Linked DNA regions of Lepisosteus oculatus. The protein of the gene in region 1 binds, or shares a complex with, the protein of each later gene. Links are inferred from orthologs where the notes say so. Each region holds a gene or a part of one and is shown in the gene's direction. Other genes may lie near its edges. The genes, in order: thoc5, thoc7, sarnp and thoc3.

Region 1 (6,895 bases):
TATGGCTGCTGTCACATCATCCAGGTGGGGCTGCACACTGGTGGTGGAGGGGATCCCTATTACCTGTAAAGTGCTTTGAGTGCAGTGTCCAGAAAAATTATTATTATTACCTTGATACAGAATTACTATATGTGAACTTGCTATGTCACCTTTTTTATAAGGGGTGCAGCCCCTGTGGGTTTGCAAAGATGTCGGCACCTCAGCGTAAACGATACAGGATGCAGTTCACTGACCTCAATGACTTTAGCTGCCCCATCAGTCATAGCCAGAGGACAGGTGTAGAGTCCAGCAGAGGGAGAGCAGAGGTATAGTTTGGACATCTGGTAAACACGGCTAAGGAAATATACACCAGTATCATCCACCTAATTTGACACTACTTTTGTAATACAGGATATACATTTTAGGCCTTCAATTCGTCTACTTGAAAATGCTGTTTTGTGAAAGACTGCTCAGTATCATCTTTCATAACATGCTGGATAACTTGTTCCAGACTCCCACAAACTGCTCAGTCAAAAACTGCATCCTGTTCTTAGTTTTAAATTCACTTCCTTGTAGTAACACATCTGGACACTGCACTGTATGATTTCCGAGAAGCAATGTTTCCGTGAGGTCCACAAATATTTTGTGGTGTATAATCTGTGGTGAGTAATTTTCCACTGTTCTCTTCAGAATGATATGTATCCACTAGTGTTATATTCATCAACATCAGTCTCCGTTAGCTGTTTCAGTGATGCCAATTGCATTCTAATTGCATGCAAAATTACAAGAGATATTAGCAATGGAGTTGCTTCAATGTCTTGTATTTTATTCCTAACAATCTTAGCATTAAGATAGAAGCATTTAATTACCTGTGTAATTTTGTTTCATATGATTAATACAAGATCATACTGTAAATCACAGGGTTATTATTTGCTAACTGTGTCATCCAGTTCAGGGTTGCAACGGATCCTGCTGTTTATGCTGTGAACTTACAGCAGGAACAGAGAAGGAGATCCTGACACTAGAATTTGTGATTGCATATTTTCTTTCCTTCTACTGTGCTAGGAGTCTCCATATGAGGAGAACTAACAAATGCCCATTCCAAAACTCAGGCACAAGAAACCACCAGATGTGTGTGTCACCCTACCTCCAGTCACGGAAAGTCCTCTCGTAGCCAGCAGCCACCAGCCCCTCCTGGGCCGAGATCTCCTTCATGCGGCCCCAGGCGGGGCAGGTGAGGATGCGATCAACTCGCCGACCCCAGGCATCACAGTGTTGCAGGCGGGGGGGGGTCTCCTCACACTGCCGGCCCAGAGCGTCCACTTCACTGCAGATCCGTTCCCCAAACCGCTCCAGATCTGCCCCGACCGCGCTCACAGCCTGGAACGCACATACACTACACATGCCCATTCTGTTCTTGTAATGCCGCTATTCCTACCTGAGTGAAAGTAGTGTCCCAGGGGCATCAGGAGAACCCGAAAGCAGGCAGAGCAGGCAGGCTGGCGTGGACAGCAAGCAGGCAGAGCAGGGTGGCATAATGAGCATGCAGGCAGAAATAAACAGTCTAGAACGTAAGGTTGTAGCTGAGAGATAAAGAGGCAAAGCATAAGGGGAATCCGAAAGCAAAATTAAAGTCAAGAGATGCCAAAAACCTGAAAGTATAAGCAGAGCTGAGAATGCCAAAACTAATAACTGAAACTCTAAGACTGAGCGCAGAGAGACTGGTCTAATATTGACAGATCCCAGTGAGGGCAGTGTGGTCATTAACTACAGACGGGTGGAACAGATTTTTAACCAGAGCTCGTAGTCACGGCAATCGCCTGATTGACAGGTCTTGTTGAGGCTCCGTCGGTTGCTGTGTTGATCCTAGCGCGTCCTGTCGTGCTCCGGTGGGAGCAAGCATGACAGTTTTAACATAAGCATATCATAAGCTAATCCAAACCAGCTTCCATATTGAGATTGGAGTAGTTTCACAGACCACGAGTGGCATGGAAAACAATAACACTGCATTCCTATATGGGTCTACTTCCAAAAATTATTTCTTCGTTACATTTTTAACGACATCTGATCAGATTTCGTTTTGCACTATATCTAATTTGTCACCTCACAATGAAGTCTTAAAAGTCAAATAAGGTGAGTGCACATACCAGAATACGTACAGGTATCTATTAAGCAGCAATAAAATGACGTTGCCACCGACTTCTTTGAGGAGCAGAATGTTAACAGCTCATCAAGGTTTTGAGAAAAGACGTTTCGAGCCAGGCTGTGTATGAGGTCAGACAGGCAGCAGAAGTACCAGTCGACTGGTGTCTTGAAAGTCTGTGGATAAGGGTTTTCTCCTGTCTATGCCTATAAAGTGGTCAAGGAGAAGTAAAACCAGGCCCACCTGAGCAGGGAGGTGTCTTCTCAGGTAGCCCTGGAGCAGAGCGTCCTGCAGAAAGGGGTTCCTGAGCTGGGGCCTCTCCTGGAAGAAGCTCCCGATGGAGGACCTGGAGAAGTGAGGCCGCTCCTCCTCCTGCGGAGCCTCTGTGCGGCCCCGCGGAGCGGTGAGGTGCGAGCTCCCTCTGCTCGCCCTGCGGCTCCAGGCCCCTGCCGCTGGCCGCCCAGCCAGGGCCAGCCTCAGGACACGCGCGGCCATCAGGCACCTGCAGCACAAACGACCTGCCAGTCGCTTGCCCCTGCTTGTGAAGTGAATGTGAGGAAGCATACTGAGCTGTCTTCTGAGAACCTGTTGTCATCCGTCTTCGTTAATTCACAGTAAAGGGTGCTGATGTTTATTTACGAGTGCTTATTGCATGTCACTACAGCAGGATAGACTCAGCTTTTTCAGCTCCGTTAAGTTGCCCTCCCAACAAACAGCACAAACGATGAAACATCGATGAAACATTCATTAGTGCTGCATTTGTGCTGCTTTCGTTCCCAAAATATAGCGCCTTGTTTTTCGGGTGATCAAGTGACCATGCACGGTGACTTTGACCTCCAGTGACCCCGTCTGCCGAGTTCAAGCGCTGTTACTGGTGCGAGAGTAACAATTCTGCAATTGTGTTTCTGTTTGCCCGGTTGGGGAGCGGTAGATTTTGCATTAACACCAGTATCTTCTGTGCGTTTGTGTGAACAGAAAAATTTAATTTGTCTTCAATATCATACCCTCAAGAGTTGCAGGTGTAGCCTTAAAAAGCGAACATTAGCGAGCAACTGCATATTCTTTAAAAAAGCCTTTAACTAGTACATCTCAATACTTCGTAGCTCTTTCATTTTATAAATCAGAAAAAAACAACAAGATTCTCCTTGCGTTCTTTAAGGAATGCGGTGGGTTTCATCGTTTGTGCGTGTGTGTGGGGAGGCAACTTCACGGACCTGGGGCTTAATAGGGATCAGTGGCTATCCAAAAACGAAGGATAATAATGTTATTATTGGCTGTCTTGAGATTTACAATCATTTTTAATTATTTCGCCAGCGTATGTAAGAAAAAAAACACATTCTTTCTACATTATCAAGCTCGGCACGTTGGTCTATAATTAAATGAAATTTACGTGTGCTTTTTCTAAAAGATAATTCACGACAGTTTATTCGCCTCCATTTCAAGTTCCCTGCATTATTTAAAATATAATGAGCAAAACATATTTAAACCCTAACTGTACTTTGAACTATAGAGGAATACAAGAAGTAGATTAAAAGTTCGGTTTACTCCGATTGCAAAGTTATCTTCACTTTATTACTAATGTGTTCCTAAAAGGGAATGAGACTGACAGCACGTGTATAAATTCTGTTGTTAATAAACTTACCACACATTACCTTTCAAGTAAACTCTACCTACGCCTTGATGTTGTTGATCTCTCTCTTCCGCCCCCTCTCGGCCGGAAAGGTAACTGCGCTGCCCCGGGATCCCCATCCGGGTCAGAGGTCAAAGTTAAAGTCCTCCATGTTTTTTTGGGGGGGAGTTTAGGGTAAGTGTTGTGTTTAGTGAATGAAATGTTATTTTTAGTTGTTTAAAAAATACAGAGCCTTTCGTTGCCGAATTTGTGAATAAGGTTGGTGGGTGCATTGATGTATGGCTGTTTGAAGTCTGCGATAAGCAAACGGCTTTTTCTTCTGTACGCGTATTGTAACTTGTGAGTCGAAGCATTTTAATTGATCGCTGCTGCTAAGGAAGAGCCTTTGTACCTTGTTTACACTCCCTGCCCAGGAGATAAAATCTATAAAACGACTTGCAGATTAATTTATGTTTGCGAGTTGTTATGTGCGTTGTTCCTGAAAACAGAAAGCCAAGACGGTGATCATCTCGGGTGATTATGTGAACTGTCGTGGATGCGATTTTAGCAGTATTAACAAAATCAGTTATAACGATACTCCTTTTATTTTTACTTTGATGTCCCGTTGTTTGTACATGTCAGTACTGTGAGCTACCGAAGCTTAACTCGTTTCTAATATATATATTTTGAAGTCCTTGTTAAATCCATTTGTACTTTTTCTTTATAACTATGTTCACAATGGTCACTAGTTCGCACGTTCAGGACTCTGAAACCAACTGGGAATGTGTTAAACTAGTGAAAGATACAGGGCACTTGCTCTTATATCGTCCTCACTGTTGATTTTTATATGTGCAGCTTGAGACCTCCTGTGTACCTCTTTCTGCCGTCTTTGCGTTTTAACAGCACAATTCCATCTGCTCTTCCTGTAAGAACTTGCCTGGAATTGGTGAATTGAATTAGCTAAGCATGCTGTTAACGTGTCTTAAAGAAGGATAAGTAACTGTAGCCAATAAGGATCGGATTTCTGTAGACATTCCTTAGGTCTTACAATAACAGGCTGCTTAAGACTTAATACATGCCATTAACTAAATTGTTAAAGTCAGTAATTAAAAAATCTCAGGCCAAAAAATTACTTATTGGATAGTTTTATTTAACTCAAAGGAATTGAAACCATTTTGCTATAGATGGGGATCCACTTTGTGACCTTTGAAGTGTAGTAGCCAGTTACGCTACAGTATGTGCTTGTAGCCCCATTGCTACTAGAGGGAGAGAAATGAGTTCAGTTAAATTAAGAGCGAAGCCTTCATTACTCTTCTGAACAGTCCCATTGATTCTTTAATGATCAAGTAGTCAGGACCTCCCCTGCAGGTGACCGCAGCAGTGTCCTGTAGCAGGTGTGTGTAGGTTCCTCGTAAGATAAAGCCTGAGCTTTCAGTTTTGTGGTCATCTTACTTCAGCTGGGACTTACGGCCAGTCCATTACATATACCTTGCTGACCCCCTCTTCTACCCTCTCACCAGGAGCGCTCCTAGAATCGCCTGCAAATGTCGGCCGACACCCTGAAGAAGAGGAAGCCCAAAGTGATCCGCAATGAGGGTACCCCAGAATCAAAACGCAATAGGGGAGAGGGGGACCAGGTGAGGGTCGCTACTGGAACTGTCGAATCAAATGGCAGTGGCACTCATGATGCAGTAGATGGCAGTCTGCCTTCTGGGCCAGCAGGCTGGGCTGTATCAGCAGTCAGAGAAGGACTTGGCACTGAGACTGAGAACACACCAGCGGATTGATTGAGATTGTCTGATCATAGATTTTACAGCTACAGTGCAAGAAAGGCAACCCTGCTATAATGAGCATCTTGCTACAATATGACTTTCCTGTACTAGGTCAACAGTGTGGTGTCCCACTGTAGCATGTAGTCTGCCATTTTGATCCCAGGAGTGCCTGCCCATTAGTGTGTCCTTCCTGCTTCAGCTGGGGTCTTTATTTTGAAGCATTACTTACAGTTGTGATCATAAGAGCACTATCGGTGGTACAAATCACCCTCTGTGCCTCCTGAAGGGCTCAGCCGGCAGGCTGGGCTGTGATTGTGGGTGTGAGCCATAAATCGCATGACCTACCATGGTCTCTTATGGGGTCAGCGGCCTTGAACCACTCAGTCCCATTTACAACAGCTGAGTGAACTGGAGTAATCAGGTTGCGCCTTGCTTACTTTTTCCGGGGGGGGTTTCTGCCACAGGGGCCTGAACCTACGACTCTCCACGTGAGCCCTAATCGCTGGTTATTTTGCTGTGCTGCAGGACGTGAGAGTGTACAATGAGGAGGTGGAGCTGGAGAGCAGGGATACCAACCAGGACTACACTCTGTACAAGCAGACCTGTCAGGACCTGGCCAAACTCATGGCTGAGATCAACGAGCTGAAGACCAGTGGCAGCAAGGACAATGTGAGCCATAGTGCGACATCTCACACTCTGACACTTTGAGCGATTCGTCTGTGATGAAGTGCAGGAGTGTTGCAAACCCCAGAAGAGACAGTGGGCACCCAGGAGAGGGCTGGGAGCTGCTGCCTTAATTGATCCACCTGCGTGGCAGCAGGAGTTGGCCGGGGCTGAATTCTGCAATGCTGGGGTATTGTGGTGGAAAGCAAAGTCTTCAGAATTGCAGCTTCCAAGCATCACACTTTGGGCCTCCCTACTCTGTTCCCTCTTACGCAATGCGTCCAGGCAGGAAGTGGCAGGAGCTGCTGTTGACAGCCACAAGAGCTGATTTTCTATTTGTTTCTTTTCCTCCTGTGTCTTGCAGTCGGCAGAGATTGAAGAGAAGCGCATGATGGGGTGCATCCACTTCATGACCCTGAAGAAGCTGAACCGGCTGGCTCACATGAGGCTGAAGAAAGCCAGGGATCAGACCCACGAGGTGCGGCTGCCTTACGTTCCTGTTCTTGGGGGTGACAGGGCTTTTCCTGACCGCAGTCACTCAAATTGATTGGAAGATATGATCACTTGAACTTAATAGGAGGTCAAGTAAAAAAAATCAGAAAGTGTTAAACTTGATTGATTAATAAGCTAACGGAAGTGCAAACAATTCTTTTCCTAGGTTGCCAAGAACATTTATTTTCCCTAAGACATTGCTTGATTGACTTGGTCATCTCCAGTCTACAGTGTCAG
Region 2 (7,551 bases), on another chromosome or scaffold:
TCTAATAACGTCTTCATGCTCGAAAATTAACAAGTCAGACCAGTACAAAAGCAATGTTACTGTTAGTGAAAATGAATTTGCAGCGGTATTAATGAGGAAATAAATTATACATATATTTAATAAGACAGCTCAATGGTTAGATTACAAGCATTACCATCACTCATTTTTAAAATACCTTTCTTCTTCCTTTTCTGCTGGTAAACTTATCAATAACTTCCATCAAAATATGAGGACACTGTAAAACTGTTCTAAATTGCTAACAATGTACATACATTTAGTTTTCCTCCTTTCACCATTGATTGGAGGCAATTATTCACAAGTTTCATCAAATAAAAAGAACAGCTCCAGAACAGCTAGAGAGTGCTAACAGCTAGAGACTGTGTGCATACAAAGGCAAGTGTCCACATGTGTCCCTCAGGCCTAGCTGGTACATGTTCACTGCTGATGCCTTTGCTTTTCAGAACACAGAAGTTTTGTTTTACAATTTCTATATCTACATAAACATCGCAAATATTCAAAGAAATAAACTGCAGAAATCCAATTTTGTACTCTAATTCTTTGTAAGTCTGACTGCAGTTCAATTATTAGGCAGTCACAGATGATATAAAGTCTTTCAATAGAAAATGCTTTGTAATTAATTTAATCAGTGAGTTACAGACTTCTTTGTTTTTGTGCCTCAGTGCTCAGACATTTTTAAGTGGTAGGCCAAAGCGAGCAAATGTAGCCAATACATCTTTACAGTTTCTTTGTACCTAGGAGCAATAGCTAAAGTAACAGAATGTATGGATAATTAAATTACTAAACAGATCTCATGACATAGAAAATCAAATCTAGGGTGATTTCTGAATAATCCATCCACTTTCTACCCACTTCTTCAGATTCAGGGTCATGGGGAAGCTGAAGCATATTCCAGTAAGCAACGGGCTTAAGGCAGGGTACACCCTGGACAGGACACCAGTCCATCATAAAGCAGACAGACAAACACACAGACACGCAGGCATTCTTACCAGGGCCAAGTTTCCCAGAAGCCAATTAGCCCAGCAGTATTACTTTAGGCTGTGAGAGGAAACTCACAAGGACACCATGAGAACATACAAACTCCATGCAGACAGCACCCCAGGTCTGGAATCAAACCCTGGGCTCCAGCACTGCAAGGAACCAATGCTTACCATTATACCACCATTTTATCAATAAATGAAAACTGAATAATTAGCACATATGCTTTCTTGTATTGGGCCATTCCATGTCAAATAAATCAAATTCACTGAAGTTTGTGCTCACATGTGTTTAGTGTAGTGGAAGAGTGAGGTCAGGTATGTAACAAGGTGAAATTAAAGTTAATTTGGGCCTAAATATTGTGGCCCTAGGCATGTGCCTAGTCTGCTGAACCTTAACCCAGCCTTGTTTCTAAAACTAGCCAAAGACTGAAAAGCCTGATTTTTGAGATTCTCAGTAGCATTATGAAGAGATTTTGGAACTAACAATTATCATTCATTACCATAATGTTCTGATCTGCAGTTTGGTGTAGTTTGTTTGCTTTTTCAAACTGGATTTCCCTAATAAAATGTAGTTGTAAATGGTCAATTTATGATTTATTTGATATAAATGCAATCACAATTATTTCAGGGATCACATTTCAGCAGAAACACCAAAAAGTGTAAAAAATAAACCTGACAATGTCACAGAATCACTCAGAATCTTTATCACATTGTAGCCTGCTTTCGTCAACCTCAAAAGCTAAGCAAGGCTGGGCCCAGGCAGTGCTGGATAGAGCCAGGCTGTGTGAACAATAAGTGATGCTATTACACCAGTAGGCAAATGTTAAACCAATACCCCAGTGCGGTAACATTATGCTGCAGGAGGTGTATTCCGTTGGATAAGACATCACACTGAGGTCTTGAGTACTTAAGTTAAATATCCCAAACTTTGTTAATAGGATTTTTAAACTTGGTGCCCTAGTTAAAATCTGCTTTGTGCATTCACAATGTGGTCTACCTACATTTCCCCTTCAATTAAAAAGGTGAAGTAATTTTTCACCTCTTTACCTAAAATTCTCTGTTGTGAGGCTGCCAGCACAAAAATGCTTCCACATGACACACTGGTGGATGATGCACTTCAGTGCAAGAAGTGGGGCTTCTCCTATATCTGAGATCCTTTGAAATCCTTGGGAATAAAAAAGAAAGTGCAAGACAAATGCAAGCATTTAATTAACAACTGGAGCTGCGTCATTCTGTGTCAAGTCAATCAGACCTTCCCAAGTCATGATTTTAATTTCACTAATATTTGTGTAGTAGAAGACAGAGGTTGAATATTTAGACCAAATCTTTTAGCTCATGTGGACGACATGACGCAGTGGTAGGTTTGTAGAAATACCTTTTATCTGAGAAATCCAGCGTGAACAAGCAAACATAAACTATACCAAACTCACAGTACAGGGAACCTGGTTTCAATTCCTGACCTGGGGTGCTATCTGTGTGGAATTTGTATGTTCACCCCATATTCACATAGGTTACCTCTGAGTGCTCTGGTTTCCTCCCACAGTTAACAAATATACTGGTAAGTTAACTGGCTTCTGAGAAAATTTGCACTATTGGGAGTGTGTTTGTGTATGCTCTGCACTGGACTGGTGTCCTGTCCAGGGTGTATCTTGCCTTTTTCCTGCTGCTTGCCAGGATCGAATCCCCTGCGACCCTGAATTGGAAGAAGAGGTTAGAGAATGGATGAATTTAAGCATATTGATGAACATCTACTGGAACACTTTTCTTGTGAAAGAGCACAGCCATACTTACAATACATACAGTATAGCCTTGGAGAGATTTTGAATATCTAAACATTTTTGCCTTAAAAATTTAGAATACATATATCTATACATAAGCTTCTAAAATCACTTGTCTGGCTAGATACATCTTCTGTAGAACTGAAAAATAATTATAACTTCACCATTTCATGTAGCTATGATGTCCAAATGTAAAAAATATATCCAGTTGTCAGTTCCTAAATTTTAAGTCACTGTTTGGCTGAAAACTGAAAGATGAGCTCACAATCTAACAAACTAAGATGCGACAATTTAACCTTATTTGACCTTGTTACAAACCTGACTTCACACTTCCACTACACTAAAAACATGTGAACACAAACTTCAGTGAATTTGATTTATTCAACATGGAATAGCCCAATGCAGGAAAGCAGCAAGCTAGGTAGCATGGTCTTGAGAGTCAGTTTCCTTACTATAAAACCCATACGTTCTTGCTAATATTTTAAAATAAAACCTTAAGCTAATGTTTCTACTTTCTTTTGCTATTTAGATTAAGTATGTCTGCTTGAACCTTCAACAACAGGCTCATGTATTAGCATTTTTGAATTGATAAAGGGAATACTTGTATTTCTATGCCCACTTTCTATGACAGGCTGTCCCACTGAAGAGATTACATAAACCCCCGCCAAGAAATATCTGCGTTTTACATTAAAACGTTAATCATCAAGAGAAAATAATCTCCTTCTTAAAGTTTTCATAGATTATTGAAAAAACTAAGAGTTTCAGCATTGCCAAACTCATCTAAATTCTCACTAACTACGAGAACAAAGATCTACGCGGAATATAACGGAAGATAAATAATTTGTTGCAGAGCTTGTAGTAACTATTTTACCTACCACATATAATGTAGCATTTTACAAATACTGGGTAAATAAGTGCCAGCTTTTCCACTGTTTCCTTCAGCAGTTTCCAAAACTCACCGAATACTTCTAAGAGTAAAACAATCATTACTACTTTCTACGAAAAGTCGCAAAGCACGAAGAAAACAAACGATGCACATCTATAGCTTCATTCAGGACATTACAGCAAAAATCAGACCTGCAAGAAAAACTATGTTTAATCTTAAAACATAAAACATATTGCACAGTTTCAAGTTTTCAGCGTTTAACTTAATTTAACGAGGAGTATTCCGCATAAAACAACAATTCTAATTTACTGGACGATCTTACTGTGTATTGAAAAGGATTAAGAACTTGTTACTTTCAATTTCTTCCATTATTATGAACAAAGCTCCTACAAATACTCGAATAGCCACATTAAACAATCTTAGCACCGGGCTACTGGTGGTTTGTGTAAATTGCTACCTAAATTGTTTCTCATTGTCATTTAAGAAAAACAAGAACACTAGCAGACTGCAGACAGAGAAATAAACCTTATCCGTGTTTACCTGCTTCCGGGACTTTTTTAAAAAGATACAAAAGCTCCTTCGGGATGTCAGTCTGTTAAATGTAGCTAAATTTGAGCGGTGAGAATGGCGAATAAAGAGCGAACACAGTGCTCACTGACTGTGGAGGTCTTTACCCGGGGCTTCCATGTCTGTTTACCAGGCTGCATTCTGGGAGACATACGTCACTCTTTCCGCACGCTTTGCACGTCGGCGCTTAGCGAGGCTTCAGCACCTCCAAGAGGCCTACGCAACTGATGCCATTGTGGCTCTGAGCAAGCCTCGGCGTTGGCATACGAAAATACAGGAAACTTGAGCCAACATGGCAGACAAACAAGAAGTATTTACGGAAACGACAAACGATTTTAACCGCAAAGCGTTTTGGTCTTTCCAACCCCTTGACAAAGCGACGCAATCGGTCTCACAGGCGGAGACGGGTGCATACTGCTTATTTATCTCTTTTGTGAATTGGGTTGGTATAGCTTTTGCAGTCAATAAAGTTTCATTTGAAAACAAGTAAATTGTCGAAGTGATGGGTGCTGTTACTGATGGTAAGTTACTATGAGTACTGAATGTTTTATAATTCAATGTTCACTATTGAACACACGTGTTTTTTTTTAACTTTTTTGTAGCAATGGCATTACAGGCAATTGACTTAGGAATTCGCTTTTCGCGTCGCCTGCCTCTGTGGCTTTGGATAGTTAATCTGTTTTGTTTTCTCCGTTCCAGACGAGGTTATCCGGAAACGACTTCTGATTGACGGAGATGGAGCTGGTGACGATCGTCGCATCAATGTACTATTGAAAAGCTTTACCAAGTGGTGCAATTCTGGAGCCCCGGAGGAAGGGTAGCTAACTCGTTGACTCTAATACAGATCCATATACCAGTAGTTTATCTTCTTCAGAAACAAACACGTGGGGAACTGCTCAGAAGCCAACCCCGAGAGCTCTGTCATGGGTTTAAAACTGACCGTAGAGCTGTGTTGTTTTAGCTAGTAAAATTCCTAATGTCTTGATCGTACCGAATTCATATATCTTTAGCGTGTATATCTGTTGCTGTGTCCAGCACAAGGTACATCCCCATTCTACCTTCGTAGCGGTATCTTGTCAGATTAATAAGTCTACTATATGTCTTGGTTCTTTATCTGTATACAGGTTGTGGAAATACGTTTTTACATAATGTTTTGATGGTATTTCCTGGTGTTTGCTGTCTTATACTGTATCTTTCTTCCTGGGTTGCACTGTGAGGTTGCATTTCAGCACATATCTATGTGGATTCTCCTCAGCACAACACAGCTGTGAAGTAGTTGTTTATTTGTTCATTTTACTTGTGCTAGGAGTTCCCAGTCCTGGTCCTAGAGGGTCAATTCTATGAGTTTTCAGTCCAGCTGTGCTCTTAACTTCAGTCGTATCATTATTTGACTGGATTGGACCCGTTTTACAGCAGCTCTCCAGGAGCTGGTACTTTAAAGAGACCAGACACTCGTGCAAGACAGGGACTGGAAACCACCTGACATTGCAGCTGCAAGTGACATCAGGACGCTAACAGCTGATGCCATGCCTATGTGGTGAAAATGGGACAGTTGTTTCAACCGTGTAATTTGTGCACATAGTTGCATTTCCTTTTCTTCTTTTTTGAAAAATGCCTCAAATGAAAGCAATACAGTCTACTCAGTGATTAAATTTACATAAAAGAGCTGCACTTGTAGTGCATAAGACAATACAGAACCCCTAGATACTTTCTTCAGATTCATCAAAAACTGAAAACTCCAAATGGAGAGGTTTAATCATGGCATTTTCTTTATATTGATTAAACCCCTTGTTTTAAAGCATTTTCCCCTAAAATAGCACAATGTATTTGCTTACTATATGTGCCTGTTGCATGCGGTTAGGAAGGTTTTGTTCACATTAAAGGTGAAATGTCTGAAATGTGTGGCACGACAGTGCAATTTATTCTGGAGAAACAAGCACCTTGTGAACTGTTGGTAGAATGAGTCAGTGGTTTCACAAAAGGTCACTTCATTGTCTAGATCACATACTGGCACTTCAGTTGAAGCAGGAAGCAGGCTGGCAACATATCCTATTGTTTTCAAGGTGCACACAGGAAACAGTGAAATGTCTTTCTTTTTAGGTACACCCAGTTTCAGAGGATGCTAGGTACACTGGCACAGTGTGAATTCTCCATGGGGAAGACCCTGCTGGTTTATGATATGAACCTCCGGGAGATGGAAAACTATGAAAAAATATACACGGATATAGGTAATCTGAATCTGTCCTATTCTAGTCCTTTACACCTTGTGGCTGTTTGTTTCAGCTAGCATGCTTATGCTTAAATTTTTAGGCCACAGTTGTTTTTTTTCGTTGTGTGCAGCAGTTAGCTTTCTCAGTTCATTTTTGTATTTAAGTAGCTAATCTTTTATCCAATGTCTTATGCTACATGTACATATAAGTAAAGTTGTCTCATAAAAGGCAGAATGAAATACAGAATTAAATCACTTTTTATATATGCAGGCGCAAACGTAATGAAAATTGGCCTCCTTTTCTTTATAAAAGAGACCACGCATAGTTATGCGTCATCTGTATCTGTGGTCTCTCAGTCTTGTTCTTGAAAACGTTAATTCATCAAGTTTTGTAGATAACCATAAACATCTGGATGAAGACTTGAGAAACAATTGAACTGAGAGACTGTGGCAGGCATTTTGTTAAATTAAGCAATTTAGAGATCACCTGGAAGCTGCAACAAATATCTGGATATACACCGGCCCTCAAGGACCAGATATGGTTAATTGCACAAATTACTTGCTTAACCTTTAGAAATGGTGATTTATACCTTCACTTTAATATGGATAGGAACTCTCAAAGACTACACTTGATAGAGATGTGTAAGTTAAAGGGGAACTGCAGTGCTATTTTTATGTTTTGGGTTTAGAAAGAATCAGCATTAAAGAGTACATTTCAAACCATAAGATAAGTAAAACGTAAACAGTAACTTGTAAAACCTCCAATTTACGTCACAAAATATACGAGATTTCCAGGTATGCATAGTGCCATATTCTGCAATTTAGAACAAGCTAGCAAAATGTCTGGTGACATAGTACGGCCCTTTTATGTTGTAAACAAGCTTGCTTGTTTTTTTAATCCAATAGGAATATTGACTCTTGACTTTGAGATCCCATAGGAACAATTTTGCGATGAAATGTCTGCAGCACAATCTGTACTTATTCACTCATACATCGCAGTAGATTAGTCATTACGGTGGCTAGTGAGCAGGAAGGGAGGGAGCTCTTGCTCTCTCCCATGCTGAGACCAGAGATTTTCGACAACACGACGACTCGCAGTACGTTCACAAAGGT
Region 3 (7,118 bases), on another chromosome or scaffold:
ACAAAGTGACAGCGATCAGTGAGGTAAGACTTGAAGCATTTAAGAGCAGTGTCAGAAACTCCAAACACAGGTCAAGACGAGAAAGTAAGATGTCATGGTCAACAGTGTTGAAAGCAGCAGTGAGGTCAAGAAGAATAAGGATAGAAAGAGAGCCAGAATCAGAAGCCATTAGAAGATCGTTAGTGACTTTGACCAGGGCAGCTTCTGTGTGTGAAGTTGTCGGAAGCCAGATAGGAGGGGTCTGAAAAGGTTATTAACAATGAGGTGGTTATGTAATTGAAAATGTGACAGCACAGTCTAGAATTTGTGCAAGAAAGGGAAAATTGGAGATGGGGCGAAAATTGTTTAGATTTAGATTTTGTGGCACAGGGGTGATAGCAGCAGTTTTGAGAACCACTGGTACAACACCAGTGCCCAAGGATTCATGTATTATATTGAGGACAACGGGGCAGAGAGAAGTGAAAACAGCACTGAAATGAAGTGGTGGGGACGGGATCTACAGTAATGTATGGGTGGTGGGTTTCATCTGTTTCGAAGGCCTTTTTTCAACTATTTCCAACCGCCTCTCTGGCGGTTTGGATGGCTTTCCTCTTGCTCACCCCTGTTACGTCCAAAAGACACAGAGGGACTGGCCTGCAAGTCCTCTGCAGCCCCCCCCCGACGGGCTCACCCCCTCCCACAGCGCAGACCTACCAGGTCTTCATGTCTGACTCCCTCCTTCCGCCAGCCTCCAGCGGGGACCTGTCCGCTCTGGCACGGCCGGCTGCCGAGATGCTTCACACAGCAATACAACGTCCAGCCCGAGTGCGGTCAGGGGCCCACCTGTCTTGCCGTTGCCAAGGAGACCCGCCGATACTTTGCACAGCGGACGCGGCTGCTGACCGGCTCTGACGGATTCGGTGGCCTGGTGATGTTTGCTGTCGTTGATATCCCCGCTAATAGCGTCCGCCAAGGGCTTCAGCCCCCGGTCGCGCTGCCACCGATAGCAGCCTTCTCCAAGGGCTTTCGGGCAACAGTCGAGGGCGTGCTCCAGTGGCCCTCACCCCTGGCACAAAGGGCATGCCGGCAAGCCGCCTCTGCCCCAACAGGAGAGACACCAGGAAGCAGTAAAGGTTTATTCCGTGCTGAAAAGTGACACCCAGAGAAGGCTCCACAGCTGAAACGTTGTGTTTCTTTTCGTCTCTTTTCTCCTCTTCTAACTAGCAAGACCTTATGTTAAATATGCAACTTTATGGGAAAGCAGAGGCTGATGTGTAGGAGTGATATGCTGCCAAGACTTGGTGCGAGTTAGAAGTCTAGTTGTCAAGTTTTGGCCATAATGCTAGTTGTTTAGAAGAGAGTGAGGAAAACCACAGAGTAAGGAGTGGCGGGGATCAAGCCTCTGTGTTTTAAATGAATCATGCAGTCAGCGTCGGACGTTTGTAAAAGAATCGTGAAAGAATGCATTATTTGCAGACTTGAAATTGTAAAAGAAAATAGGGGCCAGTAGGGGGCGCTCACCCTGCGGTCTGTGTGGATTCCAGTGCCCCAGTTTAGTGACGGGACGCTGTGCTGTAAAAAAGCCCTCTCCTTCAGCTGACGCATGAAACAGCGCTTCTGACTTCTTTAAAACGCCTAATTGTTTCTCGAAAAGAATAGAGGTAGGTATTCAAACCAAACTCCCCACTAATCTTGACAATCAACATATAGGAACAGGCTAGTTTTTGTTCTTTATATCGCCAATACACATGATTATTGGACTAATGATAATACTGTGGCTTTAAACTTGCGTAAAATAAGAAATAGCATTTTATACTAACTCACGCTCTGGAAGACATCATGCCTGGTCCCGGTACCAAAGAAAGGGCGCCCCTCTGTCCTCAACGACTACAGACCAGTTGCACTGACTTCTCACATCATGAAGACACTGGAGAGGCTGGTTTTATCCCACTGGAGACCCCTGGTCAGCTCATCACTGGACACCCTACAGTTTGCCTACCAGCCCAATGTTGGTGTGGAGGAAGCGATCATCTACATGCTGCAAAGGGCCTACTCACACCTGGACAGGGCTGGCAACACTGTAAGAATCATGTTTTTCGACTTCTCCAGTGCCTTCAATACCATCCAGCCCTTACTTCTAAGGAGGAAGCTGGAGGAGATGCAAGCCTCCTCGACCTCGTGGATCACTGACTACCTGACAGGCAGACCACAGTCTGTGAGACTTCAGAACTGTGTGTCTGAACAGGTAGTGAGTAACACAGGGGCACCTCAAGGGACAGTTCTTTCTCCATTCCTCTTCACCCTCTATACTTTGGACTTTAAGTGCAACTCAAAGTCATGCCACCTGCAGAAGTTCTCAGATGACTCTGCAATTGTGGGATGTATCAAGGGTGAGCAGGAGGAGGAGTACAGAGGACTGGTCAGCAGCTTTGTGGAGTGGTGTGGGGTGAACTACTTGGAACTGAATGTAACAAAGACAAAGGAACTGGTGGTTGATTTCAGGAGGAAAAAGGTCAAACCTACTCTTGTCTACATCCATGGGAGTGGCGTGGAGATGGTGGACTCGTACAAGGACCTGGGAGTGCACATCGACGATAGACTGGAATGGTCTAAGAACATCGAGGCCATCTATAAGAAGGGACAGAGCTGACTTTACTTCTTGAGGAGGCTCAGGTCCTTCAATGTGTGTAGTAAGATGCTGCACATGTTTTATCAGTCGGTGGTAGCGAGTGCCATTTTCTACGCAGTGGTGTGCTGGGGCTCTGGGATTAGAGCAGTGGATTCCAAAAAGCTGAACAAGCTCATCAGGAGAGCAAGCTCTGTCATTGGGTCTGACCTGGACCCCTTGGAGGTAGTGGCTGAGAGGAGAATGATGTCCAAACTAGAGACCATCATGGACAACTTCTCCCATCCCCTCTATGACAGGCTTGCAGGAATGAAGAGCCCGTTCAGCAATAGACTGATTCATCCACGGTGCGACAGGGAGCGCTACAGGAGGTCATTCTTGCCTTCTGCCATTAGACTGTACTACTGCTACATCTGTTCTCTTTCTCTTTCTTTTTCCCGTTTACAACCATTTTTTGTGCAATACATCTATATTTATATTCATATGTCTGATACGATTTTCTGTGTACTGTTCTAGTTTGTTCTTGTGTATCTGGACTGTGAGTAACTCTTGTATTGTGTTGTATGTATTGTACTATTATTAAACATTTCGTTATACTGTGACGGCGTTGTATTTATTTAACTGCTGTTGTACTGCAGCTTTCCTCACAGATTCAATAAAGTATCTATCTGTTAAATAAGTTCTGATTTTTTACCAGTATTGGAAGCCCCGCCGTGAGGCAGGGCGATCAAAAAATTAGTTTAGACTCATAATGTTCCTCTCCACGGAAATCTTTAGTAAAAGGCGAAAGATTTATACGATCTGAAGAGAAACCAGAGTGTACTGAAATTGCTCTCTGTGCCTCGGCGACCAGCTTCAGCAGCTGATATTACAGGGTCATGGTTAGACAATATGGGACGTTATGAAAAGTCCAGTTTTCCACGGCTGATACACGAAGACATTACTGCTGTAACCCCCATTCCCTTTACCTTAAACTCATGTGTTTTTTGTTACTACATAGAAAAATTATAGCGTGTTATTCAGGACACAATGCACTCTGGGAAATATATGCAAATGAAGCTGAGCTAATCAGGCCGGTATGACTTCGAGAGGCTGAGTTGTTTTTAAAGTTTTTTTTTTAAATACAAAAATGGAAAATACAATAAATAGGGGTATATACATATAGTCACAACATTGTTAACATCAAGTGAATGAAACAAAAAAACTTTGTCCACAGTACAGAGGCTGAGTGGTATGCATTAGGGGGAATATACTTTATTGTGTAAAGTACTTAAGCGCCAAGTACTGTGTGCAATCGTGTTTATTTTATATGACGATATACAATAAATGAAAATATTTTTTGACTCGCAAGATGTAATATCATGCACCTAAACTAAATGTATGTGATTAATCTACTGACACGTTTGGAGAAATTCAATGTTTAATTTAAGGCTGAACGTCAGAGCATTAAACCTGACCCCATTCTGTAAAGACACTTGGAGATTCTCAGCCAATCCCCATCAGCGTCACTAACGCTGCAGTAAAGTCGAACGTGATTGGCTGTTTGTGAAGCAGCCGGAGAAGCATTGATTCAAGATGGCCGAGGTAGTGGAGCTTCATAAACTTAAGGTAAAAAAATATATAAATAAGCCTCGAAATTAGTGTGTAGCACTCACGCTTGAGTAATACGGCTTTCTGTAAAAAGTATCTTATCATTCTAGTAGGTTGGAGGATGAAGTAGGCTAGAGGTTTTTATAAGGAAGCTGCAATTCAAATCTCGCCCAGTCGAATGCTTACCAAACAGGTTTATGTTCAATTTAGGCTGAATGTGTACTGTATGTTTAACCAGTCGATTACTCCTGTGCTGTTTGCTTCCAGTTAAGCATGTGTTAGTATTTGGACTCTATAAATCAAATACTCTATAAACCATATACCAAATTCAGTTGTAATTTGCACTGCGCTTGGCGAAATACTGTAATATCGCACGCTGCTAGGATAAAGGCCTTCGGTGCAGAGCTTGCAGAAGACTGGAGAGACGCTCAGGGTTGTTACCTGGCCTGCTGATGTAGAAAAACATCAGACCTTTTTTATTTGACACTCCTGTTTTACCTGTGTATCGTATACACTGGCTGCGACCTACATCACATAAGAAAAACCAACCTTGTGTGTACGCGACCGATTGTAACAGATGAGCTTTGTTTTGCTTTCCAGGTTAAGAAGTACGTTTCACGTGTAGGTGGTTCTGTTTTTACCTGCATGCTGTTGCTTTGATACGCTTTCAGGATTCAGGATATGCGTTTCAAATAACGAACTTAATTTGTTGATCTTGTTCGTCGGTTTGAAGGGTTCACGTTCTTCATTCAAAGCGAGTCTGAAACAGCAGCCACTGTAAATCATACAGTTTGTTGTTCTGTATATCCGTCATTTGTGAAACCCTCAATTATCCCTTGTATGTCTTTCAATTGCACTGCTTACCGTTCTGTTCAAAACTACTCGCACAGCAATTAGTTACCATAAAGGTTTGGTTGAGCGACCTGCGAATGTTAAACACGAGGAGGCCTGTTCTTCCGGAGCCATTGCAGAGTTGATCTCCAAGTTCTGCATTTCTGAACGGCAGTTGATGCGGTCATGGCCCGTGCCCGAGATTCGCCCCAGGCAACTGCAGATTCAAAGCTATTAAATCCAGAACATCCTGCTTGTGGGAAACATGAGATGCTCACTATAAATGTGAGTCATCTGCAACTTCTTCTTAAACCACCCAAGGTACGAAAAGAGAACAATGGATGAAAATATTTCTGGTTGAATAATTTGGAATAATTACAAGTCACGGGTGCAGAACATTTACTGGTTTCGCCAAGAGTATGAGAGCAGTATTTTGGATCTGATGAAGATGCTCAATTGATCTTGTGACTGTGTCCCCTTCTATATCCCTCTCCCTTGGGTTCTGGGTTCTCTCACTGTTTTCTATGGGTATAGGAACTGCACTGTAGTGCTTCCTCTATTCAGAAAATTTCAAATTTTCTGTAAAACGATTTTTACTTTTTAGTAATTACTTTATTATTGCTTTTGTATCTAAAACAAAGGTAGTTTTCATTTATGCCATTACACTTAAGCTGTGTCAGTATACGTAGGCTGCAAAGGAACGGGTCAAAGCTCATTCAATGCTGAAGAGACGGACAATGTGAGTTCTTTTCCTTGCAGTGTGAAATAAGCTTTCACATGCTCCTTTGCAGTTACTTTTAAGTCTGGTGTGAAATGGTAGAAATGCCTGTCTTGGAGGGGGGGGGGCAGTGAAGTATATACCACAGGAGCCCTCCCTTGTCCAGAGTGATGAAATCGCCTGTGTTCCTCTCTCTCTCTCTCCCCCCCCCCCCAGCTAGCTGAGCTGAAGCAGGAGTGTGCAGCTCGGGGTCTGGAGGTCAAAGGTAACAAAAGTGATCTGATCAGCCGGCTGCAGGCTTACCTGGAGGAGCACGGTAAGACCACAGTCTCCCTCTGTCTCCTGGGTTCATTCCAGGCCAGTGCAAACACGGGCTGTGTCCCAGTTGTCGCCCTAAATCCTAAGCCCGTCCCCCCAAGTCCGCACTCCTGTGACGTAGAGCAAGTGTGGACTTCAGGTGCGTGAGTATTTGAGGAGCACCGTTAGAAAGAGTGAAGGGACACCCTTGCGTGACAGCACTCGCTGGTTACACAGCTCCGGGTCAGAACGCTTTCTGTTGACACTGCTTTTCCAGGGGCCAAGTGAAGTTCGGCAGATAATATTTTAAAAGAATTGTCCGTTCTGCTCTCGCAGCTTGATGAGATTGGATTTCATCTCGTCTGTCTCTGCACAAAAGTAGTGACACGCCGTTTTTCATTCTATGTTAAGCAGGCTCGACTCAAAATGGGCGAACTAAGGAAAACCTGGCAGTACCACTCTCTGTTTATTCAGGGCTTTGTACTACTAAATGTATTTCATCTCATATGTCACCAAAAATGTTCACTACTGAAATGACAGTACAAGGAACATAATTTGTTAATTCACATTCGTTCAAAGTAAGCGAAGGTCAACTTGACAATACCTCAAGGTTTTGTACTGTTAGATACGTGTGCTATTAAATATTCCATTTACAAAACACACAGCAGGTGAACAAATATTCATTAGTCGTGATGGGGTGGTGAAATAAAAGCTTTAGGTCTCGATTTCGTATCTTAAAATGCATACAGTAAGAATCTCAAATAGCCCAATGAATTTTTTTTGCATAAAATATTCTGAGTTTTAAAACTGTAAGTGCAATTTTATTAATGTGAATATTTTGTTCTCCATCGCTACTTCTCTCTGCTTTGATAGGCTAGAACATGAAACGTCACTCTTCCGCACGGAATTAGGGGTGATTCCCTTGAGTGAGGTCCACTCAGATGGACTTCAGAGATGGGTGCATTGGAGGCGCTCATGAGCACACTTGTCACGCACAAATTTAAAAATGAGACCCCCCTAAGCCTCTGCAGACTTTAATGCGCGTATGAAGGGTGCAAGTGTGCATATTGGGACATG
Region 4 (7,206 bases), on another chromosome or scaffold:
TAATGTTCCATTTCAAGCATGAAAGTTTCCCTTTAAACTCTGAACAAGTCTTTTTACAGAAATGGGCAGAAATGCACTTGATTTTTTAATTTGGTTTTACTGCATACTTTCGAGGTTTTCTTATTCATCAATATTTTGTTCTGTCACATCCCAGGAGACCCCATAATGATTAAAGGCAGCTGTCACAGCTTCCCAGCAATGAGCTACTAGAAATGATTACAGGATAGAAGATGCCTTCTATCACGATTCTAAATGCTCATTTTGTTTTCTCTGACAGATGACAAGGAGAGTGAAATGAGCAAGGTCTCCTCTTCTGAAAGCTTGAATGCCAGGCACAGTTCAGATTCTGGCAAGGAGCCTATTGCATCCTGCAATGAGGGCAGTGTGCACAGCTCTCGGGCTGACAGGGGCACAGGAGAAGTGGTGGCTAATGGCTGCTATGGCAGGTAATTGCCTTGACCTCTCCGTCGTATACGACACATTGTTAAACTGTAAGCATCTTGACTTTTAATTCTCCAGCTGCTCCTTTTGTGTTCTGTTTAGCAACTGAACACTGAACTGAGCAGTCACATTCTCAAATTTTTGCTAAATTGGCACTGTCCGAATGCCAAGTAGCTCTGTAGTAGAAGAAAGACACTCTGTCTGCACACATGCACTGAAAAAGAAAGTTTCCATTTCTATCAAATTTTGCGAAAATGTTCCTATTCCTGAAAAGCAGACATCCTCACATTGGAAAACACCTTCAGTTAAACTTAAAAGTATCCAAACTAACTACCCCTTACAGGTTTATGCACCACGACTTGAATGCAATTATGGGTTTGTTTGTTTTTGGAAGTTATAAAGAATGCTTTTGTTACTTGTGATCTACAGTGGTGAGGACAATGAGAAGAAATCAGCAACTAAGTGCGCACAACCTAACGGATTTAGCCATGCTCTTCCAAACCGTGATAAGCATGGCATCCAGACTGCAGGCTCTCCGGATGGCCCCCTCCCTGTGAATGGTAGCACTGATGCTGAGTGTTAACCTCAGCAACAGGGCACAGGCAAATGGCTGGGGTAGGGGGAGTTGGGGTGACAGCTGCACAATTTGCACACCATTTAAAGAACAAAGGTTTTTTTGTATGTTTAGATAACATGATTTCAAAGCTTTAGGTTCACTAGACGTTTTTAGATGCACATGCTGTCTGCTAGCGGGGGTTGGTGTCTGCTTAAGGAATGCACTGTTGTTTGGTATGTAATGGATGATATTAAGTTGTTTTGTCTCTCAATCTTTTATTAGACTAAGGCACCGAAAAGCAGGAGAGCTCAAAATTAGGTCTTCAAATGAGTACCCAAGCCACACTAAATTATCTTATACTGTAGTTCCATGAATTTGTAAAAGATAGGGTTGAATCCCTATTGTTCTTACTGTAGGTTTCCTGTTTTGAAAGCTTTGACTTATAATCATATTTTTGTGTTAACTTATTAATGCTTTATTGGAAATCAGGATTTGCTTCATATAAGAAAAAAAAACACAAACACGTTTTACTTTCAAACTTAATTTATTCTTTAACTCAGTAGTTAAGGTGTCCACATTCCACTTAAATGCACTGCCTGACATTTAAACAAAATAAAAAAAAAGTCACACAATTATATGGTGAACTATGCTAAATTATATGCAATGCTAACTTTTGTGCACAGATGTCAACAAAACAGTGATATACATAAAAGGTTTGCAGTCCTGTCGATATTTTTGGGACAGCTTTGTCAGATAAGTTTAAGTGTCTTCTGCCTACCTCCTTGCAAGAGAATTCACTTGCTTGTCAATCCAAAAATTGTAAACCAGAATGAAAACACTAAAGGCTAAGGAAACACAAATGCTAAAAATGTCTTCCACATTTCACCAAAGAGGTAGTTGTACTGCTTTGGTTACATAATATTCCAGAGGTTCAGCACACTTTAAGTGCTGTGAGTTCCCTCTGTTCTAGATACAAGGTGCTACTGTATATATTCCAGTTCCATTATCGTTTCATTGCTGGAGTATGGCTACATGTAGCAGGCCCACCAATACAATTTGGAAGCAAGAGTATCCCACCAAGACCTATGCTATGCACAGAGGTAAAGTCTAATACCTCTATGTGTTCAACAAGAAAAAGCCTTTAAGTCTGTATTGCACTATTAGTTTTTAGGTAATTGTTCTCATAATTCAAATCAGACACCTCTAAAAAGATTTCATAAGTGAAAGTCTGAAATACTTTTTTTTCACTACAACAAATTAAGCCTGAAGACACCACATTGACAAATGAAACTTCACCTGTGCTCTCTCAGTGCTTATGCAGGTTATTAGTGAATCGCAGCTGTTAAAATGCTCCCATTGAACAAAACACCAAATATACCCTTTAGAGTTTATGCATACTCACCTGTTTAACTGAATATATAGAGGTTGCTGTACTCTCTTATCATTCATGAATTTGACTACTGAGGAGTTGCTGTGTAGATGTTTTTTTTTTCTATAGTCCCTTTTTTGGAGGGTACTGAATTTTAAGTTCAAGTAAATAATTTCAAATCAAGAACTAATTTCTAGTAAAACAAGATAAAATCTCCTAAAGGTTGCTCCCTAGAGACCATAAATATTGTCAGCCTCCCTTTCAGGTAGTCCAAGTTCTAAAGTACTGTTAACATTTTGAAGTAAGCCTATGTCTATTCATTATGTGGCCAGATGTTAATGGAACAGTAGACTTACTATTACATTTAACCACAGTATAATGTATTGCACCTGATTGTTCACCTTTTTGTTGCCATCTAATGTTCTGTAACACTGTATGGTAGTGGTTTGTGTGAATATGGGTTTGCTGGCTCCAGATTACAGTGTACACTTGAGATGTAAAGACTTGCAATGTGGTATCATCCTATTCTTAGGTTTCTAAAACTCTTCACCGCTTTCCATTATTCATATAAGTTTTTTTAAAAATTTGCAACAAATAAAGTTTTGGCAATTTGAGTGCTCGTCTTCTGTTTTCATTACTTCTGCTTTTCAGTCATATTTTCAAATGACTTTGTCTCAGGGGAAAAAATAGTGTTCATCTTTTATCAGAATGTTGGAATAATAAAATACAGCTACCATTTTTTATAACAAAGACTACATCATTGGACTTTGCTTTCATTCCTGAGCCTAGAGAAAAATAAATTTAATAAATTGTAGCTGTATTGCACCATTTTTGAAAGCGATAAAAAATCAAGTTATACAGGAAACATAAAGGAGAAGCATCGTGGGTTTGACCGTGTTAGGATTCCAGATACTGTACTGAATGTATAGGACTACAGTATCTGGACTATGTGTTTATACAAAAATGTGTCAGAATTATTCTTACTTATAAAGAAAAACAAATATATATGTGAGCAATTCACTTTAGTGAAATAACATTAAATATTTTTTTCCAAAATATTGGTCGACAGCACATATTTTTTCCATAACTCACGCTGTAGATAAAGATAATTAAGTTTAAGACTGTTGTGTCGCATGACCTTTTTTTAACCTGTTTGGGTTTCATGAAAATACCAGAAATTCGTTTGGTAACATTCGATACCATGATAAGCACATATTCAGATTTTTCTTTTTGCTATATTTATGATATTTTGCTTATCCTCCAAATTAAACAATCAAAACGTTTTAACTGATGCTTAGCAAGTTTATTTGGGTAAAAAACAGGGTTTTGCATGATTTCTGCACAGTCTTAGCAAAGATAAATCAGACGAATACAAAGATGGAATTTTTAAGGCAATAGTTTTATTTATACTGTCTTGATAAAAATTAAATTAAAAACATTTTTAGATGAAAAGGCTTGGCTGAGACATTGCTTGTTCTTATACTGCTCGTCGGCTGTGACATCACAAGGAACCTATGCAGAAAGTAACAACCGCCCTTTTCTAAATCGTATCACGCATCAGAGAAGCAAATGGAGGTAGCATTTAATGTAAAAAAAAACCCTATGTAACAATTGTAAACTTTAATAACTGTTAAATAAAAAAGCAAAAGCGAGTTGCGAAACCATTCAAACCCTGACTACCGCAGCTAGCTTTCGAGACTGTGCTAGGTGTTGTAGACGACACATAACAGACCTGTTCTAGAAGAGCTGTGTAACGTAACTGAAAAAGTAAATTTTGTGCAAACCTACAATCTGCCGCAAAGATGCAAAACGCAACAACTAATATTAAAGGTAAATTCGTTTTCCGGTGCCGTATGCGACTCCATATCCGCCCTCAAAGCTGTACACCGGAACTTCACCAATCCCACAATGCACCACGTCGCTGGGAAAGGAAGATCAAATCTCTTCCGGCGCACTTAAAACATGGCGTCTCAGTACTACCAAGATATGCAGGAGAGCTTCAGAAATAACAACAAGAGTCGAGAGTTCCCGGCGCACAGCGCTAAGGTTCACTCGGTCGCATGGAGCTGCGATGGCAGGAGGTTAGCATCTGGGTCATTCGATAAAACCGCCAGTGTGTTTGTTCTGGAAAAAGACCGCCTGGTAAGTGAGGGTTTGTTTTCGAACATTGCCCCCATCCTTTTATTTATTTGGAAGAATGCCATCTGTTTACTTGCTTTTAGCATCTTAAAAGACTTGATTTACAACTTCAGTAATGGAATTTTTTATTATCTTAAGTTATTAAATTAACGAATATATTTACAAATGAATGAACCTACGTGTCATGTCACCGTTGAAAGGCAGATGGCGTAGGTGCATTACGTCTGAATTCTGTCTGGTCGACTCTGAATTGATATTTCGTACAATTACGGTAGATGAAATATGAATTATATTGTATTAATTGGCTCTAAGGTACTACACCTAGTGAAAATAGTGCCAATGCTATTATCATTATTATTATTACATTATTACGTGAAAAGAAAATCATTCCACATCAAAAGTCTGAGCTCTGCATCTAAAAGTTCCATTATCGATAGCTCCGCTCATCTGTATTCGGTGTAGGTTTGCAATGTCCTAAAGTAAAATGTTTATCACGAATAAAGTGCCATTTTATCTAGATATGTGTGTTAACATTCTTAAGTGGATGTATCCGTGACAATTCTGAAAAATGTGAAGATGGATCTCTTTGATAGCTGACTTTAATCTGTTTTCAGGTGAAGGAGAATAACTATCGAGGTCATGGAGACAGTGTGGACCAGCTATGTTGGCACCCTACCAACCCAGATCTCTTTGTCACTGCTTCTGGGGACAAGACAATACGCATCTGGGATGTTCGGACTACAAAGTGCATCGCGACTGTCAATACTAAAGGTTCAGAACAATATGTGTTTTGTTCAGAGACTCATTGATAAAAACACGCTGAAATGTGTATATACAATTCCTTGCATTTACATTGCTCTTTTAATCTCAAACTATCTAGAAATGGACCCACTTCATCTACTGCTCTAGTGAAACACTAATCTGGGTATGCACTGTTGTCCTGCTGCAGTGTAGATCATTGAGAAACTACCTCACCTATTGAGGAGGAAATTCTAGGAGGTTGGACTGGGCAAACTGGGCAGTGACATTACTGGAACAGTCTCATCTTACACTATCATACACCTGTTACATTTACTGATTTTTGTTTGCTGTTGACATAATCAGAGTAAACATTATCTCTATTGGAGGCATTAACTAACACGGGTGATTGAGAAATTACTGTAATTTTCTGAACCAACCTTTAGCCTTAGTTTGAAAGAATACATGAAACCATAATGTAAAGTTCAAATATAAAAAAGCATCTTTTTGTGTATTTTTTGTTAATTGAATATTCGAGCAAAAGTGGATTTGTCCCATGATAAAAATGTTTGTTGGTCACTGTTGTTAATGGCAGTCTGGCTGATTGCTCATGTGCTCTTTCTGTGGCTAGGGGAGAACATCAACATCTGTTGGAGCCCTGATGGACAGACAATTGCAGTTGGCAACAAGGATGATGTTGTGACCTTTATTGATGCGAAAACCCATCGTTCCCGGGCAGAGGAACAATTTAAGTTTGAAGTGAATGAGATCTCTTGGAACAACGATAATGATATGTTCTTCTTGACGAATGGTAACGGCTGCATCAACATTCTTAGGTAAGGGAAAGCAATCTTTCTGTTCGTCAAAGTGATGAATTGTCTTTAATACAGATGTTTGAAAGAGCATAGGCCACTACAGTGTTTGTGTTTTAGCACATATATTCACAAATCATTTCCCACAGATACTGTTATTTTTTGCTATAATTGGTCATGTATATTGTAAATGTATAGCATTTATACAGTTAAGCATATACACTATAATTGGCTGCATATCAGATTTAGTTTTTAGGACAAGTGTAAGTAATAGTATTTTTTTATTAACTCCCTGTGAATGAAGGTCACAGAATGATTGGGATGTGCAATTAGTGAATCTTTTTAACACCTTTACTAGTGATGATTATAGTGAGTTCTTCTGTTTCAGTTACCCAGAGCTAAAGCCAATCCAGTCGATCAATGCTCATCCTTCAAATTGTATCTGCATAAAGTTTGACCCTACTGGCAAGTACTTTGCGACAGGGAGTGCGGATGCACTTGTTAGCCTGTGGGATGTGGAAGAGCTGGTTTGTGTCCGCTGCTTTTCCAGGTGAGTCCATACCTGCATGAACCCTGACTAATTCCAATTTTCTGGTTATAATGTAGTTCCAGTTGAACTCTTAGTATTTTCCTATATGGGGTGATATTATATGTATGAACATCTATTCTGATGTTTTGAGAAGAAAATATTCTGTTTGTACTATGCATATTATATATTGACTATTCTTATAGCCATAAAAAGGACCCATAATACAACAATACATCTGTTCTAGATTCTCCATTGGTATAGTGCCTTCATGTAGGTGTTTAGAAGTAATTATTACAGAAATAAGATTTCTTTAACAGCAGGTTAGGCCTCTGTGTGATATAATTTTTGTGTGACATTTAATTGCAGTTCCTGCTGATCACGCTGAAATGATTGTGATCTGAATTGAGTCTGTGATGCATAAGATGAATGTTAGAATTATTCCTTATGTTATAGAGGACCTGCTGTGTCTTCAATATATTCCATACTGATTGATTAACCTTTTTTTTTCTGAGGCTTGACTGGCCTGTTAGGACACTGAGTTTTAGTCATGATGGGAAAATGCTAGCCTCAGCATCAGAGGACCACTTCATTGACATTGCTGAGGTGGAGACAGGTAAGCATC

Evidence for each region.
Region 2: the proteins of thoc5 (region 1) and thoc7 are in contact, whole or in part, in a cryo-EM structure (PDB 7APK), measured with the Homo sapiens proteins. The link is inferred for Lepisosteus oculatus from reciprocal best matches to the Homo sapiens genes THOC5 and THOC7. Residues at the interface, in NP_001002877.1 of Homo sapiens: Pro48, Asp51, Tyr52, Tyr55, Cys59, Leu62, Gln63, Met66, Ala67, Gln70, Phe95, Lys99, Leu101, Asn102, Ala105, His106, Arg108, Leu109, Gly112, Arg113, Gln115, Thr116, Ala119, Lys120, Val123, Tyr126, His127, Leu130, Leu133, Glu136; in NP_079351.2 of Homo sapiens: Ala21, Asp23, Ile27, Leu30, Val31, Phe34, Tyr50, Met53, Leu54, Leu57, Cys60, Glu61, Met64, Gly65, Thr67, Leu68, Val70, Tyr71, Asn74, Met78, Tyr81, Ile84, Tyr85, Ile88, Glu89, Ser91, Ile92, Ala95, His96, Lys98.
Region 3: thoc5 (region 1) and sarnp share a complex: the UniProt entries of both Homo sapiens proteins name them as parts of the transcription/export (TREX) complex. The link is inferred for Lepisosteus oculatus from reciprocal best matches to the Homo sapiens genes THOC5 and SARNP.
Region 4: thoc5 (region 1) and thoc3 share a complex: the UniProt entries of both Homo sapiens proteins name them as parts of the transcription/export (TREX) complex. The link is inferred for Lepisosteus oculatus from reciprocal best matches to the Homo sapiens genes THOC5 and THOC3.

The regions. Positions count from the first base shown.
Region 1 is NC_090717.1:14,292,224-14,299,118, reverse strand, and holds the start of thoc5 (THO complex subunit 5 homolog), read left to right. Parts: upstream 1-3,871; 5' UTR 3,872-3,926; exon of another isoform or gene 3,927-4,010; intron 4,011-4,241; exon of another isoform or gene 4,242-4,265; intron 4,266-5,251; 5' UTR 5,252-5,275; coding exon 5,276-5,368; intron 5,369-6,028; coding exon 6,029-6,172; intron 6,173-6,530; coding exon 6,531-6,644; intron 6,645-6,895. Other genes in the region: acyl-CoA dehydrogenase family member 11-like, read right to left, coding at 234-333, 1,127-1,359, 2,366-2,617. UniProt on the Homo sapiens protein: Component of the THO subcomplex of the TREX complex which is thought to couple mRNA transcription, processing and nuclear export, and which specifically associates with spliced mRNA and not with unspliced pre-mRNA.
Region 2 is NC_090699.1:48,898,243-48,905,793, reverse strand, and holds the start of thoc7 (THO complex subunit 7 homolog), read left to right. Parts: upstream 1-4,527; 5' UTR 4,528-4,731; coding exon 4,732-4,750; intron 4,751-4,928; coding exon 4,929-5,046; intron 5,047-6,329; coding exon 6,330-6,457; intron 6,458-7,551. UniProt on the Homo sapiens protein: Component of the THO subcomplex of the TREX complex which is thought to couple mRNA transcription, processing and nuclear export, and which specifically associates with spliced mRNA and not with unspliced pre-mRNA.
Region 3 is NC_090696.1:14,511,492-14,518,609, forward strand, and holds the start of sarnp (SAP domain-containing ribonucleoprotein), read left to right. Parts: upstream 1-4,103; 5' UTR 4,104-4,180; coding exon 4,181-4,213; intron 4,214-5,960; coding exon 5,961-6,060; intron 6,061-7,118. UniProt on the Homo sapiens protein: Binds both single-stranded and double-stranded DNA with higher affinity for the single-stranded form. Specifically binds to scaffold/matrix attachment region DNA. Also binds single-stranded RNA. Enhances RNA unwinding activity of DDX39A.
Region 4 is NC_090706.1:35,586,373-35,593,578, forward strand, and holds the start of thoc3 (THO complex subunit 3), read left to right. Parts: upstream 1-4,205; 5' UTR 4,206-4,328; coding exon 4,329-4,508; intron 4,509-5,119; coding exon 5,120-5,276; intron 5,277-5,874; coding exon 5,875-6,079; intron 6,080-6,443; coding exon 6,444-6,605; intron 6,606-7,096; coding exon 7,097-7,197; intron 7,198-7,206. Other genes in the region: shtn3 (shootin-1), read left to right, coding at 278-446, 871-1,024. UniProt on the Homo sapiens protein: Component of the THO subcomplex of the TREX complex which is thought to couple mRNA transcription, processing and nuclear export, and which specifically associates with spliced mRNA and not with unspliced pre-mRNA.